Schizosaccharomyces pombe: one gene and its partners. The protein of the gene in region 1 interacts with the protein of each later gene in a pairwise test. Each region holds a gene or a part of one and is shown in the gene's direction. Other genes may lie near its edges.

What was found.
Region 2: the proteins of SPOM_SPCC622.15C (region 1) and wwm2 interact in a two-hybrid assay, tested with the Schizosaccharomyces pombe proteins (one large-scale study listed by BioGRID).
Region 3: the proteins of SPOM_SPCC622.15C (region 1) and SPOM_SPAC30D11.14C interact in a two-hybrid assay, tested with the Schizosaccharomyces pombe proteins (one large-scale study listed by BioGRID).
Region 4: the proteins of SPOM_SPCC622.15C (region 1) and ntu1 interact in a two-hybrid assay, tested with the Schizosaccharomyces pombe proteins (one large-scale study listed by BioGRID).

The regions. Positions count from the first base shown.
Region 1 is NC_003421.2:1,428,211-1,432,818, reverse strand, and holds SPOM_SPCC622.15C (uncharacterized protein), read left to right. Parts: upstream 1-1,969; 5' UTR 1,970-2,039; coding exon 2,040-3,713; 3' UTR 3,714-4,076; downstream 4,077-4,608. Other genes in the region: Jmjc domain-containing protein Epe1, read left to right, coding at 1-1,120; SPOM_SPCC622.14 (GTPase-activating protein), read right to left, coding at 4,297-4,542, 4,603-4,608.
Region 2 is NC_003423.3:202,567-206,270, forward strand, and holds wwm2 (protein wwm2), read left to right. Parts: upstream 1-1,892; 5' UTR 1,893-2,082; coding exon 2,083-2,904; 3' UTR 2,905-3,155; downstream 3,156-3,704. Other genes in the region: protein wwm3, read left to right, coding at 1-401.
Region 3 is NC_003424.3:1,090,789-1,094,938, forward strand, and holds SPOM_SPAC30D11.14C (RNA-binding protein), read left to right. Parts: upstream 1-1,599; 5' UTR 1,600-1,652; coding exon 1,653-3,257; 3' UTR 3,258-3,591; downstream 3,592-4,150. Other genes in the region: tcd1 (Moeb/ThiF domain-containing protein), read left to right, coding at 1-1,347; small ubiquitin-like modifier-conjugating enzyme Hus5, read right to left, coding at 3,712-3,772, 3,828-3,907, 3,957-4,066, 4,109-4,132.
Region 4 is NC_003423.3:4,241,745-4,247,985, forward strand, and holds ntu1 (regulatory protein ntu1), read left to right. Parts: upstream 1-2,000; 5' UTR 2,001-2,255; coding exon 2,256-2,345; exon of another isoform or gene 2,346-2,413; intron 2,414-2,615; coding exon 2,616-2,646; intron 2,647-2,753; coding exon 2,754-5,116; 3' UTR 5,117-5,682; downstream 5,683-6,241. Other genes in the region: DNA-binding forkhead transcription factor Fkh2, read right to left, coding at 1-114, 407-918; SPOM_SPBC16G5.17 (transcription factor), read left to right, coding at 6,074-6,241.

The DNA.
Region 1 (4,608 bases):
TCATAATATCATTAAGAAATGTCAAGAATCTCAAATACAAACAGGAAAGAATAATTGCTCTTTTCAGTTAGTAAAAAAGAGGATTAAGAGTACTAAAAAGGCACCCAGCTGGCGCTCGATAATTAAGGCTTTCAAGAAGCGAGAAAATACTAGGTGTAATTTTCTGTCAAGTTTACATGCAACTACGTTTCGTGAGGACATTGTCGTTCGTCCTAAAATCAAGTCATTCGTTCTCGAACAGTTGATCTTTCAGGCGTTGTTTTCATTTGCTATCAATTGGACACCAAGCTTCTTTTTGAATCACTCCAATTTTGAGAATATTGCGTTGAGTAAAGAAACGTTTAACTTTGGAGGTGAAGCCAATTGCGAAAATACGGACACCACATTATTTACTACTTGGGGCGATCAAGGTTTTAGACCAAGTGATTCTATTTGCTATAACGACTTTAATTTATTGGAAACGGCGAATTCTGATGCTGAAGCTTCAATACATGAACTCGAACTTCAACCGCTGAATGCAGTGAATGAAAGAGAGGTTGATATATCGCAAACCGACATGACTCCATCCACGGCGTTAGACACTAGGGTAGACACTAGGGTAGACTCTTTACCAGAATTTTCAAACTTGATACTTTCGCCCTCAAGCAATGACGACAGTTTTCAACTTGACGACTTGTTGTCCCCCTCTTCATCAAATCTCAAACAACAGATTCAAAAAGTCGTTCCTCAAAATTCCCTAGAATTTTCTGTTGGTGAGAAAGAAAAAAAGGCAGCCGAATATAGCCTGCTTCATACGTTTTCTTACAAACGACTCTCTATGGAAAATGAGAAACCAGATACTACAAAGGTACCTTTAAAATATAACATACAACATGAAGAAATGAAAGCGTATCGAAGAAAAAATGATTTAGAATATATAGATCAGCACTTTGCAAGCTCTAAGAGTGGAATTTCGAATGGGAGGAATAATAATAAAGAGGTCAACTTAACAAAAGCTGAAAATGTCGGCATCAAAAAACGTCGAATCATGAAAAATGAAAATAACATTTATGATTTTGAAGATCACTCTCCTGTTAGGGAAAAATGGGGGCACAGGCTTCGGTCCAGAGGTGCTAGTTAAAGTACCTCGGCACTTTTTATTTCCTTCGGCTACCATTGAATATTTATCCCCACGTGCTTATGATTCTTGAGTAGTTCACATTTTATGAGTATATCATGAAGGTTTCATCAAATAATTAAGACTCTTTTTTTTTCTATTAATTGGGTTTTTATTTATAAAACGATTAAGAGCATCAATCCACTTTGACTCGTTGTTTGCTTTTAAACTACGATCGTCCTAAAATGATTTATGGACTACATAACACACAATGGAGTCATTGAAAGCGTGGACATCCCCATGAAGCGGCGCAGGGACACTCAACCTGAACGGATTGTATCAAAGCCGGATACTACAACACACTTTTTAATATGAATGTCTCCTATTGGCGTCGTCTCGTCTACTTTATCCATCTCAGCTGATGCAACGACGCTTCAGGGTTTTCCATCCAAATCCCAATTTACCAGCCTTACTTTTTTATAATGTGCTAATATTGTTGAATTGTGCTCAAATATGTACATATACTACCCGATATAATGATTCTATAAATACTCTTTTTCTGTTTTTTTTTTTGGAACTCATATAAATAAATAATCCGGCGATCTAACTACAAGCCACGTTTCTATTAATCTAATCGGTCGTTTCATCTTTGAATATTATTTAATTAATTTATTTTCCTATTTTAATTGTTAATACTACTAGAAACAATGGTAATATTCTAGATTTCTATTATCTTAAGATTTCCGCATTGCAACCTGCTAAGTAATCTTATCAATGCGTTAGAACGCGTAATGTTATTTTACATTTTACGGTCCGCAAGCTAAAGCATGCACTATGTATTCATTGCCATACGCGAGCAATGTACCCGGCCTTAACAATACAGTAGACGGATATTGGAATTCAAGCGGAATTGAATATTTCTGCTTTGAATTGACTTAAAATAATGAATGAAGATGAAACTTCAATTTTAAATAAGAAAATGGAGAAAATTGAGGTAGAAATGGCGGAATTTGAACGATTGGGCGCTGAAAGAGAGAAGGAGGCGGTCGAAAGAATTGTTCAAGAGGAAAATCAAAATCCTGAAGTTCCATCGAACGATGACGCGTCCACAGATATTAAATCGCGAAAAGAAGGAAATATGAAAGTCACCGCCGAGGAAATTGGTTTGGAGACTGAGAACTTTGATGAGCTACCTGTAAGTAATGGATTTGGTGTAAGCCGACGAGAAACCCATTACGGTAACAACAGGACGTATTACAAAAATTCTCAAGGATATCGAAGAAAACCCAAGAGAGATGATTATAACAATAACCGAAAAAACTTTTATCCTCCTATACAAAATTCTACATATTTTATAAACGCTACCGGGGGAATTGACTCCATGCCATATTTTGGTTTAAATAATGCTCCCGGCAATATCTATCCCTTCTCAATGTATAAACCTTTGGAAGCGGATCCGCAGTATTTATCTGTTCCCTCATCCATGCCTTCCAGAAGGGAAGCTGGTATGGCTTATGGATATCAGAACTACAAACGAGGTGGTTATACTCCTAATACGCAGTATTTTGAGGAGCCTCTTAATAACACCTCTTTTCCTAATTCCCAAGGGAAAGAGGGAAAAAATTCGGGGTATCGTAAATCGTCAAGGATCCTCGATATCCGTGTAAAGTTTGGAAACTCTTCTATGAAAGCCATCAATTTTCAACCTAAAAAGAAAATTGTCCATGTCGTGCATAATCCCCGTCTCCATCAGAACAAAGTTCTTCGCGTCAGTATACCTGGATCCCAACCAGCACTGGTTACACCCAAACATAAAATGAATGTTCCTCCTATGGGAATGTATCCCTTACCTTTCTCCCCTTTACCTTCTGCAGCTCCGCCTATTCCTTTTTCCCCTAACGTCTCTTCCCATCCACATATGGCTTTTCTTCCAGCCACTGTACCAACTCATTCTGCTCCTCCTGGATTTGTCCCTTACGATTTTCCTATTACAAATGACAAAATGTATCCTTCACCCTCATTTCAAGAGGAATTTCCATCAACTTCAAAGTCCCCTTCGGCCACACCGGGATCTTCTAACGCTCCTGTTGTGGATATGCATCCTAGCGCTGATTCCGCTACGTACCCTACTTCCATATATCCCTCTAATGTACGTGCAAGAGATGATTCTCAGCAAGCTTATATTTCTGCGAATATGACTACCGGTGAAATGCCATCCATGACCAATGTTCCCGCTGGTAATGCACCTGCAGCACCGGGAACCATGTACACAACCCCTTTACCTACTGCCAATAGTCCGATTGCATATCAATCCTACTCTGTTATGCCGACTTACTGGTCGTTTCCTCAAAATTATGATTCCACCGTTCCCGCGGTCTATCCTTATATGCCTCCTCCATTTTCTGGCAGTGATATGAATGTAATGTCCAATCCTGCTGCCGATACTTTACGATCTTATTCACCTGCTAGTCAGGTCTCAACTCCCCCCTTCGGTTTCGTTTATTACTATGACCCAAATCAGTATTACGTACCAGTTAGTAACGAATCAGCCAATGCTACTAGCCAGCCGTTGTCTAACTTAGACACTGGAGGCAGTGCGCCTTATGACCATATTTGATGGGTCAATGACTTATTGTCTTTTGTTAGAATGATTTTTATCATTGAGCTTTTAAGCATTTTGATTTAATTATGTTATGACCAGCATTTTTGTTTTGGAAAATGACCGGCAATGCCTATATCCTCATATCTTCGTCTTTCCTGTTTTCTTTTAAAATCCACTCTACATACCGATTAGGCATCGTCGACTAAAAAAGAAAAAAGTCATTGGTTTTATTCAAGAAAGCACATGATCCGGTTATCTTCTTAAAATTTAGCCGGCATTCAACTTATGCTAATGAAAATAAAATATGTTATTATCATTTTTTTCATTGTTTTGAACTATAAGCCTAAAACGATGAAACTTTTGTAACAGAAATAAACAAGAAGACTCCGTCTTCAATATATACAAACTTTTTTTTTCAGTTCCCCATGTATTATACTTGAAGAAGCTTCAAATGTCAGATAATTCTAATGAAGTAGCAATATTTTTTTTATCGGTAGCGTTCTTCGTTTATGTTTTAGCTGACGAATGCTTGATAGACGAGGCACTCCTAACAGCAATGAAACATATCAAACTGCTTACGAGTTTAATAATAAAAAAGTCAATCGTGCTTATCGAAATTCTTTTTCGAATAGTCTTCAGGTGGAGGAGAGGCAGCGAGAGCTGAATAAGGAGAGTCGATTTCCGCATCATAAGTACCGCGGGTGTTTTGGGGGTTTTCGGAATATACATTTTCATCCAAAAAGGATTTAAGTTGTGTAAATGATTGCTTAGCACCTTCCTGAACGTTACTAGAGAAATTATTAATGGCATTCATGTAATCCTTCCTTGTTTCGGGATCTTGAACCTAAAAACAGAGTCAGTACAACAGAAACTTTATTTTTTGGATACAATAAAATGTTTGTACCTTTGT
Region 2 (3,704 bases), on another chromosome or scaffold:
CAGCTGGTTGGGTCGCCCAATGGGATCCAACTTATCAAGCTTACTTTTACATTAATGAAACGTTTGAAGGTGCTCAACCACAGTGGGAGCCTCCTATTCCAGGCTTGCATATTCCTCCTCCTCCCGGTACCACTACCGTCGTCTATCAAAAGGACGTGCCTCGCTCTTCTGACGGCTCACGGTCTATGACGGCTGGATTAGGAGGTTTCATGGTTGGAGCTTTAGCCGGCAGTGTTCTTCGTGGTCACCGTGCTTACTACGCCCCTCCTCCTCCCAGAGGCCCTTTGTTTGGTCCAAGAATCGGTGGTGGCCATCATGGCCCACTTCATGGTCCTCACGGTGGTTTCGGCGGCCGCGGTGGTGGACGCATGGGTGGACGTGGTGGACGTGGCCGCAGATGAAAAGCGTTGATTTTTATTTAAATTTGGTTCCGATTTCGTCCTACATACTATGGTCGTTGATTATGGAATCGCTCTTTTTTTTTGAGAACATCACTTTCTCCTTTGAATAGAATCACCAAATTCACGTATACGACTCTTTCGAAATTGTTAAATGGAAAACACGATATCCAGTGAAGTTCTTTTTATTCCCTTGAAATTTCATACTATTTTTGCTAATCGTTCTAAAATTGTTATATTCTGTTAGTCGTTCTTTGACCTAATTTCTTGTTTACTTATATTAATTTTGTTATCATCTGATCTTTACTTGTTTCAAGCTTCCTTATTTATTGTACCATTGCATTCTTTATTGGGATTTCGAGGAAAACGGTCTAATTTATAAAATTTCTGTTTAATACCAAAGAAGTAAGGAGCATATATTATAATGGGTGTGAATATCGACGGAGTTGGTTGTCGATGGAATCATTTTTTTGGCATTTATCACTTCGACGTGTATTTACTTATTTATTTATATTTTTTTTTGGTTAATTGTAAAAAATTGGGTGAAGCACAATTTTTGAAACTTTTAAAAAATCAATGGTTGTTTTTTCAGACGTTAAATTAGTTTATTATGCATGATTTAAAATAGTCAATTATATATCTTTCATTTATTATTATCATTGTTTTTTCATTACTAGTTGTCCTTTTTTTTTGGGTATTTTAGTTGAATAGTTTATAGTGGTGTATTACTGACTATATAATTGGCAAACTCAGATATTTGTTTGGTTTTGGATTAAATGCACAATTCCGAAAAAATTAAGGCAGAAAGAAAAAAAATTTTTTTTACACTTATGGGATGTCATACCACTATTTTAAAAGACAAACAGATATCATTTGAATCGTTTAAAACCTGTATTTATCAAGCTGTTTAAAATAAGAGAAATATAACTTGGCTCTTGGATACACATAATGAAATAAGAAAAGTTAATATATTTCAAAATTAAGAAATATTATCTACGGTACAACATTTATTTGTTCATATTACGATTATTCAGTAAGGATACGTAAATTTGTACCTGGCAATTATCAAATGAATGTCGAGGGTTTTCATAGCAATGCAAAACCGTTTGTTTTTAAGCAAAGCCGGCGATTAAAAAGGGTAATAAGAGCAATTTTCCTTTTTCAATTAGCTATGTTTCAAGTCAAGCAGCATTAGTGAAACCCTGATATTCTGAGTTTGAATAAAACAAATTGGCAGTCTATTTTCCATGAACAGCTTTCGATAATTAGTGAAGTACTTTTAAAAACACGTTAATACCACTTTAATGGAACTCGTAAATTCGTAAACTAGGAATGACGAATTATGGTTTGGGGCAATCACGATATAGTAAAATAACGAAATTTGCATAATGCTACTACCACTACATCAGCCTCTTATGTAATGATCTGTAGCGTATCAGATTTTCATTTCTTTTATAATCGTTCTATACCACTGCGCGATTTCTCCTTTTCCCTAACAGATACAGCTTACCACCAAAACTTTCTATCTTTAATACTCGAAAAATTAAGTATATAGATCTTAGAGAGTGATTTTTGAATATCTGCCTATAACATTTTTCTTTTCTTTGGTTAGAATCTTTCTAAGCCTCTATATCGTTTATATAGGTTTTTACTCTGTGTCTTTACAGAATTAATCATATAAAAAATGTCTGTCTATCAAACTCGTGAAGGTTTGCCCAGTGGATGGGTTGCTCAATGGGATGCTGAATATGGAACATACTTTTATGTTAACGAGTCAGCTCAAAATCCACAGCCCCAATGGGAACCACCAGTCGAAAATCTGAAACTTGCTCCTCCTCCAGGAGCCACAAGCGTTAATACAGCTGTGTATAATAACAATAACAATACTTCTGCTGCGAATACGAATGCTGCATACAATGCTAATACTGCTGCAAATGCCAATGCTAACACTGCCACGACTACCAATGCTGCCGCTACTACCAGCGCTGCATATAACCCCAATGCCCCTGCCAATACCAATGCTGCATACTATCCTAATGCTGCTGCCACTACCACTACCAATGCAGATGGTAGTGATAAAGGGCTGTTCAGTGGGCTTACCTCTTCTAATGGCTACACCACTGGCAACTCTTACAGTAGACCAAGCTACGTTGCTCCTGTCGCTGCAGGGTTAGGTGGATTGGCCTTAGGTGGCCTGGCTTCACACGCACTTGGCAATCTCTTTCACCATCGTGGTCATAACGGTGGTGGTTTCGGAGGTTTTGGTGGTGGTTCTGGCGGTCCTCCTCCTGGTCCTGGTGGATTTGGAGGCTTTGGAGGCTTTGGAGGTGAAGGCCATCATCATGGTGGTCACGGTGGCTTTGGAGGCGGCCCTGGAGGTTTTGAGGGCGGTCCTGGTGGCTTCGGAGGCGGTCCTGGCGGCTTTGGAGGCGGTCTTGGAGGTTTTGGAGGAGGCCCCGGAGGCTTTGGGGGTGGTCCTGGAGGTCATGGCGGTCCTGGTTGGTGAGACTGAGAAACATGGAACTAAATATTTGTTTATGAGCTTTTTATGTGAGTATATTGCGCAATAGATATTAAGTCGATACCGTTAAAAAATTTTTTATGTTTATACTCAGTTATTTTGCTAAAGTGAAATTGAATTTTATTAAGGTAGGACTTTCTGAAAGTATTAAGTAGAGCTGGGCAATTTTAGAAGTGCACATAGAAAAGCTCGCAAGCAAGCAATTTTGATATCCCTGTGTTGTTGTTTTTTAGGTTTATGTAGGAATGATTCAATGCAACAGTTTAGATATAGGTAAACATAAGTGCTGTATCTATAGCTGTGGAAACAATTCATGCTTGTTCATACGTAACATTTTATGCGCAAGTATTAAAAGATTCTAAAAAATATCTATTATGTTCATTATCTCGCACACGTCAAACCCAGTCTACTTCGAAATGCGTACGTGTATACTTTGGCTGTATACAATCTGAAATTTGAAATTTAAAGCTGTCAGATTAGCTTCTATTAATATTGCGTAAATCGGTTAGTTCAGAGTCTTTTATCCCAATACTTCGTCAGATTTGTATACTTTCTTCATTAAAAGTACATGTTTATCTTAACATAGAAGAGGTAAGTACCGCTAATTAACCGAATTGCAACTTGTAATTATAACAGCCAAATCATTTCAAACCAGAAGAGTGCAAGTTTAAAAAAAAAACCGATAGAACAACATACAGTGCCGCATTCAAACTACACATACATAGGGTTTCATCTCGTGGTATATAACGAGTCAATAGAGCATTCTCAATGTTAAAAAATACGGA
Region 3 (4,150 bases), on another chromosome or scaffold:
TCTTCTGTAACGACAGCATGCGTAATCCTTGGAACGTTGGAGTTTCGTAAACATCGCTCAATTCGTCGCTTACAGTCGATGATTGTTCCTGAAGCTGGTAAAAGTATTCAACTTTCTTCTTCTGGTGTACCTATAGAAATTTATGATGCTGGGGAAGAGGATGAAGGAATAAGCAAAGGCGTTCCGTACGATGAAAATCTGATACGTGAACAGCTGGCTCGAAATTATGCATTTTTTGGAGAAGACGGTATGGAGCGTCTGCGCAACTCTTTTGTTATCGTCGTAGGCTGTGGTGGTGTTGGAAGCTGGGTGATTAATATGCTTGCACGCTCTGGTGTGCAAAAAATTAGAATTGTCGATTTTGATCAAGTATCTCTTAGTAGCCTAAATCGTCATTCCATAGCCACGTTGCAAGATGTTGGTACTCCAAAGACTCTTGCTATAAAAAAGGCGATTAAAAAATTTGCCCCTTGGATTGAAGTAGATGCTCGTAACGCACTTTTCAATCCCGACTCCGCCGACGATCTTTTGTCTGGCAATCCTGATTTTGTAATCGACGCTATAGATAACATCCAAACTAAAGTTGATTTATTAAGTTATTGCTACAACCACAAACTTCCCGTAATTGCTTCTACCGGGTCTGCATGCAAATCTGATCCGACTCGTGTTAACATAGCAGATATATCAGCTACTTCTGAAGATCCTTTATCAAGAGCTACTCGTCGTAGGTTGCGTCTCCTTGGTATTATGGAAGGTATTCCTGTCGTATTTTCTACTGAAAAACCAGATCCTAGAAAAGCAAGTTTGTTACCTCTCTCTGAGGAAGAGTTTGAAAAAGGAGACGTTGATGAGTTGAGTGCTTTACCCGAATTCCGTGCTCGTATTCTTCCTGTAATAGGACCTATGCCTGGTATTTTTGGACTTACAATTGCTACTTATGTTTTGACTTCTATTGCTAAATACCCTATGGATCCCATTTCTACCATGACGCGTCCTCGCTTATACGAAGAGGCTGTTAAACGTTTACATGCTGAAGCTCGCAAAGCTGGAGTAAACCTAGATAAAACTTTTAATGCATCTGAGATGTCATATATCATTGAGGAGGTTTACGTTGGTAGAAGCGCTCTTCCCCCGCATGAGTCTCAAAAAGTCACTGTTGTTCGATGGAACCCACAATTACCTTTTGATCACACCAATCTTGTAGCTATGACACGGAACGAAGCTCGCTATCATGAAGATAATGTCTTAGCAAAGAATGTGGATCCTTCTACAGTATATGGCAAGGATGTAATTGAGGTTGTTCACAGTTTTCTAAGGCGATTACGAATGTGGGAAATGCTTTATTGAAAAACTTGTCACTATAATTGAGTTTATTCTTCTGATAGAATTTGTTTTCAGAGCAGTACAAATAGGTAATTTAAGCCTTTGCTGACTGCATGTATTATAAATAGATAAATAAACAAACAAATAAATAAATATATATATATATATGAAATTGCCATTTGCTCAAACATGTAAAACATCCACCATACATTTGTCTTAAAAAATTATTATATAACGTGCTTCGTTCAACCTCCTTCTTTGACTTTTTCGTATAAGCACTACTTCTACTATGTCCACACAGTTTGCGTATATAGCTAAAGTTAAGTTTCATGTCTGATTCAAGACAAAATTCCCAACGGGAAGATAATTATTCTCGGGATAGACGATCTAGGTTTACGGAGGATTCGTATAGTAGAAGAGATTCACAGCGGTCGGGCAATGAGGCACCCCGAGAATCAAGATATTATCGCAAAGAAGAACACCTTCAAGAGCGTTCTCGAAGTCGAAGTCCTGCTAGAGATTCAAGATGGAAATCTTCTTCATCAGGTTTTGCCCCAGCGCATCCGCCAATCGAAGAACCGACAAACAATGGAGCTGAGGCAGCAGCTGCTGCCGCCAGACGGATCGCCGAATCATTACAAAGTACAAAAGCAACGTCCAGCAGGACTTCATATGATCATTCAGAAGGGATAACCTCAACGACATCTGCGTCACCTCCAAGTGCACCTGCTCCTCCACTTCCTCCAAGTTCTGAGGGACCCGCAGTTGATATTCCTCCGTCTATGGCCGATATTACTAGCAAGGTTATAGAAGGGGACGGTGTCTTTATGCAGGATGTTGAAATTAACAATGTGCGTAATCGCTACATTTTGGTGCGTGCCTCAACCCTTTCTGAGATCGAGAATAAAAGTGGCGTGCAATTATTTTCCAAAGGACGATATTATCCAAATAAAGCTTTAGCTACTGACAAGGATCCTCCACTCTATCTCCACATAGTATCGCATAACAGGAAAGATCTAACGGTTGCCCTGCAGGAAATTGAATCTTGGATTAATAAAGACATGGGTCCTTTAATCGACGAGCGAAGATTTCGCCGCCGAGAAGATAATGAAAGGAATAACTCTAACTCGCCTCGTAATTTTTCAACGCATGGCAATGGTAATGGGGAAAACGGTCAACCGCGACGAAAGTGGCTAGAAGAAAAAGTATATATTAATTTAACTCCAAGTCGTGGATTTCATTTACGTCAAGCAATTGTTGGCCCACAGGGAGCATATGTAAAGCATATACAACAGGAAACTCGCACCCGTGTTCAGATTAAAGGGCAAGGTTCTGCTTTCATAGAGCCATCGACAAACCGCGAATCAGACGAACCTATACATTTGTGCATCATGAGTCACGATCCTAATGCCATCCAAAGAGCTAAGGTTTTATGCGAGGATTTAATAGCCAGTGTCCACCAACAGTATAAAGCTTGGAAGTCACAACCAAAAGATCGTGATCAAAATCAAGGAAATCGTGCCTACAATCCACCAAACCGGAATCAGGCATTCTCCGCACGAGACTCACGACAAGAAAAAACTCAACCAACTAATGCTTCCCCTGCACCATTAGTAACACCATCGTTACCCGTACCATCTATTCCAGCTGTTCCAGGAATGGAAGCTATGGCAATGCCTCCTGGTGTCACTTCATCTATTGCAGTACCGACGACTTCTTCTATGCCTTTACAGGGTATGCCTACTATGTTTGGTGCTCCTGGAGTTAGTGCTCCTGGTACAGAAGCACCAGGGACTGGTACGCCTGGTTTAACTACTCCAGGAGTAGATCCGTACGCAGCTTATGGAGGATACAATGCGTATGTACAATATTATCAACAGCAAATTTATGCTCAAATGCATGGTGTCAGCGGTGATCAATCGCACCCACAGTAGATAGCGTTTGAGCATTACTAAAAAGAATGTTTATTGTTGATCATTAAAATACTATTTTTGGTTGCTTAATGTTCTGAAACCTTGATTGTGCTTATTAAAGTACATTCTACTGTCTTAGTTGTAAAAAAAAAACACTATATTTAAATAGTGACCATTTTTTGAGGGCATACAATTATTAAATTATAGTTTACTTTCTAATTGATTTAAAGGAATTTGTCGAGGTAAATTCTATCACTTAAGACGTGGTTGATTTAATGAACTTTTTAAAAAAAACATATTTAAATAATTAGTGGTATTATCTTGTATCAATCTTTTATCCTAACAAACAAAAAGCAACCGACTTGTGAAACCGCTAATAAGATTGAGATTTTATCTCAACTAGTCAAGCAAAGAAATATACACATCAGGAAAAATAATATTAAACAATAAAAAATAAGAAAAAGTACCAGTCAGTTTATGGAGCATTTTCACGAGCCTGAGCACGAACTCGTTTTTCGTACTCGACTTTATCCTTTCTAAACGAGGTTAATTATATTTGATGGTTGTGGAAACAGTAGTTATGATACTTACTTGAACATTGTATATGCTTCTGTTTGAGCGGGAGAGGCAATATTAGGATCATCTAAAAGATCCTGAATACCCAGCAAAATCTAGAAATGGTTAAAACCTGGAGATTAAGAAATTGATTTGAATTCTTACCTGCTTAATTGTAATTGCCGGTTTCCAGCCTTCTTCTTCATTAAGTATTGAGAGACAAACGGTGCCAGAAGGATAAACGTTTGGATGAAATAACGGTGGAGTAAACCTACCTGTACAAAAGCATTAGCAAAAAATCGTAGTTATATGCTTACATTTGGGGGGACGAGTTGGATATTCTGTGATTGCAGTTAGTA
Region 4 (6,241 bases), on another chromosome or scaffold:
GAAATTTCAGACTTTATAGCATCCTCCTTTATAGTGCTTTCGTCAGTTTGCTTTTGCTCAGCTGCATTGGGTAGTACGAACATCATTTGTAAACCCGCTACTTCGAGTATAGATCTAGTAGATAATTAGTAAGACGAAAAAGAAATAAAAAAAAATAATTGGCATAATTTCCTGCATTTATTTGAACTAGGACGGAAATAATTATTTTCTTGATAATTTGACAAATCCTTAACGCGCATTTATAAAATAACCAAACATTCGTTTAAAATTGACAAATAACACGAGAAAACCATAGAACTTATGAAAGAGTAAAGCATAAATTATGCGCTGCTGAAACCATCAATATTCCGTCCTGTCGCAAATCACGACGAACCAACACTATTCTAGTAAATGATTTTTAACATACCCACTTGTAAGCTTGACTGTTTCCCCATTCTTGAATAACTTGCCATCTACTTTAATGCCATTTCGACCGTAAACTGAGCAATTCCATGTTTGGTCATCCAAATCATATTCCACAACAGCGTGTTTTCGACTCACAACTTTAGAAGGACCAAAATTCATATCAATTACTTCTAAATCTTCATTTTTCCCCTTTGGTGAAGGATTTGCTGGTTCGCGACCAAGTATAATTCGAATTTTCTTAACATAATAAGTCCATGTACTTCCAGCGAATTTCGCATAAGCTTGTATTTCTCCAGAGTGTCTTTCCGCATTTTTACTGTTCGAATAATCATCGACCACTCTCATTTCGTGAGGTGGAACGGACAACTTCGCAATTTGGGATTCCAGGCGACCATTCAATACAATGTTACGATCTGTGTCTACATCCATTTGCTTTTTGTAATCTAACTGTTCTTTTCTCTCCTCGTCATCTGATATATGCTCAGACTTGCTTTCGAGTCTGCGAACAGTCATTTTTCCTTTCTACAGCAATTGTGCTGTTGGTGTGTGTTTATTTACACTCGTTTGTTGTTGTCAACATTCGTTTACCTTCCGTTGCCAGCGCTTCACGGTATAACTAATATTGACCATCATTTTAGATACATAGAAATTAAAATATACATTTTTCTAAATATTTGTACATTTTTTATTTTTGTCAACAATGCGTCTTTGTTATCGTTGCTATTTATATTTTTGTAAACAATCAAGATACCGGATCTTCGATATACTTTTTTAAATACTAAGCAGTTAAAAAAATCCTCTTAATATATTGGCGTAGGATTAACTTATAAAAAAAAAAAACTCAAACAATCATAACTCTGCAAGACTTGTAATAATTTTAGCTTTTCAGCACTCAGTGTTTTTTGCACATGTAATGGCGTCTAACGGTCGCGTGCATATCCTAGTAATTACCCTATTATTTAAAACGTGTCTACTGAAGATTTATTTTGAGAACTGTACAAGCTATTACATGAATACACTAAGAGTATTAATTGTGTTTTATGGAAATTCCGAATCATTATTTCGCTTTCAATCAACCGATTTTGTGTGGCTGCAATATTAACGCTCAACTGTTTACTCACGTTATTTTCCATATTTTTACTAACTACGCGATTCGCGAAGTCTCTGTAGGATACGTAATATTATTTGGTGAGTTCGTAGCGCACTATAATGTGTGGTACACAACAGAAAGTATTATGCAATATACAGTTACCGAACATAACTCAGGCACGGAGAGACTTTGATATTATAATAAATAATATGTGGCTTACATGAACAGACAAACTTGATCTTGAATGATCTTTATTTCCCATACTTTTTTCTTCAGTAATATTGAAAATAGTCAATAAACGGCTTGATGGTTCCAGCTTCAGGACTCATTGGAGAACTCACACGTGAAGATGTCAGGCTTATAACGATATTTAACATACCGCAACAAAAACATTTAGCATGGTATAATCTCATTGCTTCACCTACACATGTATGCTAACGTGAAGTAACGAGTAATTACTATTTAGCGGATGTATACGATCGCTGGCACACACTCTCGTAGGTTTAACCTGTCGCGTATATCATCCATAATCGCTTCGCAGCGATCACCATTTATTTATTTATTTACCTATCTAAAGCACCAAATTCCTTTAGTTTCAAAGCGTTAAATTTTGAATGATAAACTGCATTTTTGCTCACTTGCGTTAACTTTCGGTTGTAAAAACCGGTAACAACGATTCGATAAATACAAATTAAAAGACCTGTTCTCCCTCAAGTTTGAAGTTAGCAGGCTTCAACATAGTTTATTGATAGGCTGCTGAATGTCTTCCGGCGATGTATCTCGTAGACAGCGTGTTTCTAGAGCATGTGATGAATGTCACAGGAGAAAGATCAAATGTGATCAGAGAAGGGTAAGATGTCAATTTCTTTGCTCTATTTATGTTTTGCATAATTTTATTATTTGAGTTGGGAACTGAGAACTCACTTCACCCAGTTACCGCTTTCTCTGAAGTTGATTGTAGCTTGATTGATTTCAGTTCAGCTAGAGAGCATGCGGATAACCTTTGTCGTTAATTTATTATTTTTTTGGCTTTTATTGCTCTTTTTCTATCTTATTTGCATTAATTTGGATGAGCGATTAGAAATAAATATAAATTTCTGTTCTTTACTAACTTTTTCAGCCTTGCTCGAATTGCATAGCATATAACTATGGTAAGTGCCTACAATTTAGATGAGATTATTTTCTTCAAGTTTAGTCGCTTTAAAATTTATTTCAAGCCTCTATTATAATTGGATGGAGTTTTCTAACTTTGTTGAAGAATGTACTTATGGTCAACCTTTTAAGCGATTACGGCATGCTCCTGAGAAGTATATAGAATTTTTGGAGCTTCGATTGAAATATCTGAGGGGACTGGCTGAAGAAAGCGATCCAAATTTAAAGTTGCCATCATTTCTGGCTCCTCCAAATGACAAAGATTCTCCTGTGAACCAATCTCCTTGGAAACGCTCTGATTCCTCTAAAAGAAGCTCGTCACAGGACGAGTTTGAAAGCTTATTCGACCGGTATGGACAATTGAGTTTAAAAGATGATGGGAAAGCCGACTTTCGTGGAAGTTCCTCTGGCTTTGTCTTTATGAAAAATATACATCAAAACATTGCGAGGAATTCTACGGTTCCCAATCCTGTCCAAGAATCTAATTCATCTTCTTCTCAGCCAGATCCTTTATCTTTTCCGTATCTTCCACCCACCCCTGCCGAAGATGAACATAAAAAACCGCCTCTCAAAATTCAGCTACCTCCATATGAGGAGGCTCTTTCTATTGTTAGCCAATTTTTTATGAATGACCATTTTTTGGTACATATTCATCATCCTGCATCTTTCTTTGAGAAGATGCATATGTATTACAAAACTGGCAAGACTGATAACAATTTTCATTTTTTACTTGTCGCTACATTGTGCTTGGGTTACACCTATATGCCCGATGAATCTCCTAGTGCTAACTATCCTTATCATGAAGCTTACGAGTATTACTATTACATTCGGTCTTCATTTTCATGGGAAGATAGTTATACGATTGAAGTTGTGCAAATTTTATTGTCTGTTGCGCTTTTTGCTTTGTTCAGTTCCCGACTTTCTCAAGCTTATACGTTCACGAATAATGCGTTATTGTGTTGCCACGAATTGGGATTGCACAAGGATTTTTCAGACGTTCTCACATCTCATGAATCTCGGTTATCCAAACGGGTATTTTATTCTGTGTACGTTTTGGCTTGTTACACCAGTACAATTGTTGGTCTTCCTCTCAGTATTGAGGACGTTGATATTGATCAATCGTTACCCAATTCTTTTGATTTCACATTAGAAAATGACCAGGTTCCTCCACGATTAATAGCATCAGAATGCACTAGCTTGGAAGTTTTTATACAACACATAACGCTTTCTCGTATTTTAAGTCATTTTGTAAGGAAAGTGTATCCAGTCAAATCGCCCTCTGACTCACACTGTAAAGTTTCATTACCAGCTGTTCGTGATCATGAAGAAAAACTTACATATTGGTGGAAAAACTTACCTTCTTATTTAAAAATGAGCGAAGTTCCAAAATTTTCACCCAAATGGATCCAAGCAATAATACTGGAATTGAAATTCAGGCAAATAGAACTCATTTTCTATCGCCCTTTTATTCACAGTATTAGTACACCAATTGATAATCAGAATGGGTCGCCAATGAAACCTGCAAATTTTGCTTTAAAGTGTGCACAATCTGCGGAGCGTGTTGTTTTTTTGTTACAGGAATTGGCCAAATCTCCAAATACTCCCAAACTGTTTTTCAATTTGTATTCTGGATACTACGCGTTAATGACCTTGACATATTGTGCTACTTTGACGAAGGACGATGCCAATAAATCTAATAATTTCATAACTAAGGCAAGATTAGGATTTCATTGTCTACAAATGATATACCGCGAATCCACTTACTATAGTACAATAATGGAGGCAATCAAGAACTTGCTAATTGCGTATGATATGAACTCATCTGGTACTGAAAATTTGGATGCGACCCCGGATGTTACAGGACAACTACCAAACAACTTTTCGCAGAGAACTAGTAATATACCTAGAGAGTTTCCGCAAGCACAAATATTTTATTCAGATGCTCCTTACCCAGGTTACTATAATCCTGCCCAGTTTCAAAATGCACCAACAAATTTCCCTATGCCTACGTATGGTGGGCGTACACAGGATCAATCTTATCCTAGACAAAACGGATATCCTTCCTATTCTGATGGTAATGTATACCCTCATGATAGGGTTATGATTAATTATGGTTCTTCAATGCCAACAGCGAATGGTTTTTATGTTCCGAACACCTATTCTCCAGTACCTTTCCCGTATAATACTTCATACCCTCCATACATGAGTCCAACTTCGAATATGCCTCAGGCTTTCCAAGCATATTCACAGTATCCTTACCAGCACCCGCCTTTTCCCTTGTCAGAACAAATGCTACCACTGCCTACTTCAGGGGTTATGATGGCACCTGGAGCTGCAAAATCTGGCATGCCGTATCCCTTCATTCAACCACCTTCCATGACTAACCAAGTTGCTTATCCTACTGTCCGAGATGGTTCTAATAATTCTCCTGACCATCCAAGTTCCTCAAACTCTAAAAGAACCGAGTGAGCGATCAATGTTGTTAAGCATAGAAACTCACTTTTGTTTTCAAAATTTTTTTTTCTGCAATAATTCTTGCTTCACTTTTTATCTTTAATAAGGGTTCTAGCTCCAACTTTTAGGGTTTGCTCATGAGAAAAAACATTGACATTTTTAAAAAACTTATTTTTTGTTCCTTTTAATTAAGTGATATTTTGTTTGGTTGATGATTAGCTTTTTATGTTTATTGAATAATAGAACGATTGAATATCTAGATTATCTGTCTTCCTAGATGTTTGTGATAGATTTGCTTTTTGATCTTTTGATCAAGCTTAGAGAGTTAGCCTACTGCTTCATGTCCATTAGCTAGTGATATTTACGCGCATTATTATCAGCAATGAATAACCAAGTAGTGTTAAAAGCTAAAAATTTTGGAGTAAAGTTACGTTGAAGTTCTACATTATAATGGATTACTGCAAAGCAATTGATGAACTAAAAACTTTAATAGTGTGCATTTTCTTTCACGATGGAATGTATAATTACTAAAATGACAATTAGCTGTTTATTTTGTAAGCAACTGCAAACCCAACTGTGGAACGTATTGTTGAGTACCTTTGGCATCTAGGCTAAAAAAATGATCCCTATAAAAATCTTCTAAATAAAAGCTCTGCGAAAAAAATGGTATCGAGATCTGATGCTTACACTGTATTTTAGACGTTGAAGAATTTAAATAATTAAGCCTGCACACTCAATATTTACCACCACACAACGTTGACACCGCCTTTGCATTCATAAAAATGTTTGCAGTAAAATATTAGTAGTCTCATCGATTCAATTGAAGCATAATCCCAGCTTAAAAGTTCGATGGTTATCAGGTTAATACTGAATGAAACCTTTAGTTTGTGCGTATAATTTTTTATGGTGAATTGTATTTTATAGAAATATCCAACTTTCTACTACAGAAGAAATACCGTAATTAGGTAAATTATGGTTGGGAAATCTAAAAATAGGGCCCACAAAAATATTCGAGCTAGATCTTGTCTGAGATGCAGGCGCCGAAAAGTCAAATGTGACCGCCAATATCCTTGTTCTCGATGTAAAGAGAGTGAAGAATCATGTACATATGGAGTAAACGAGCAAGCAGTCCAACTTCTT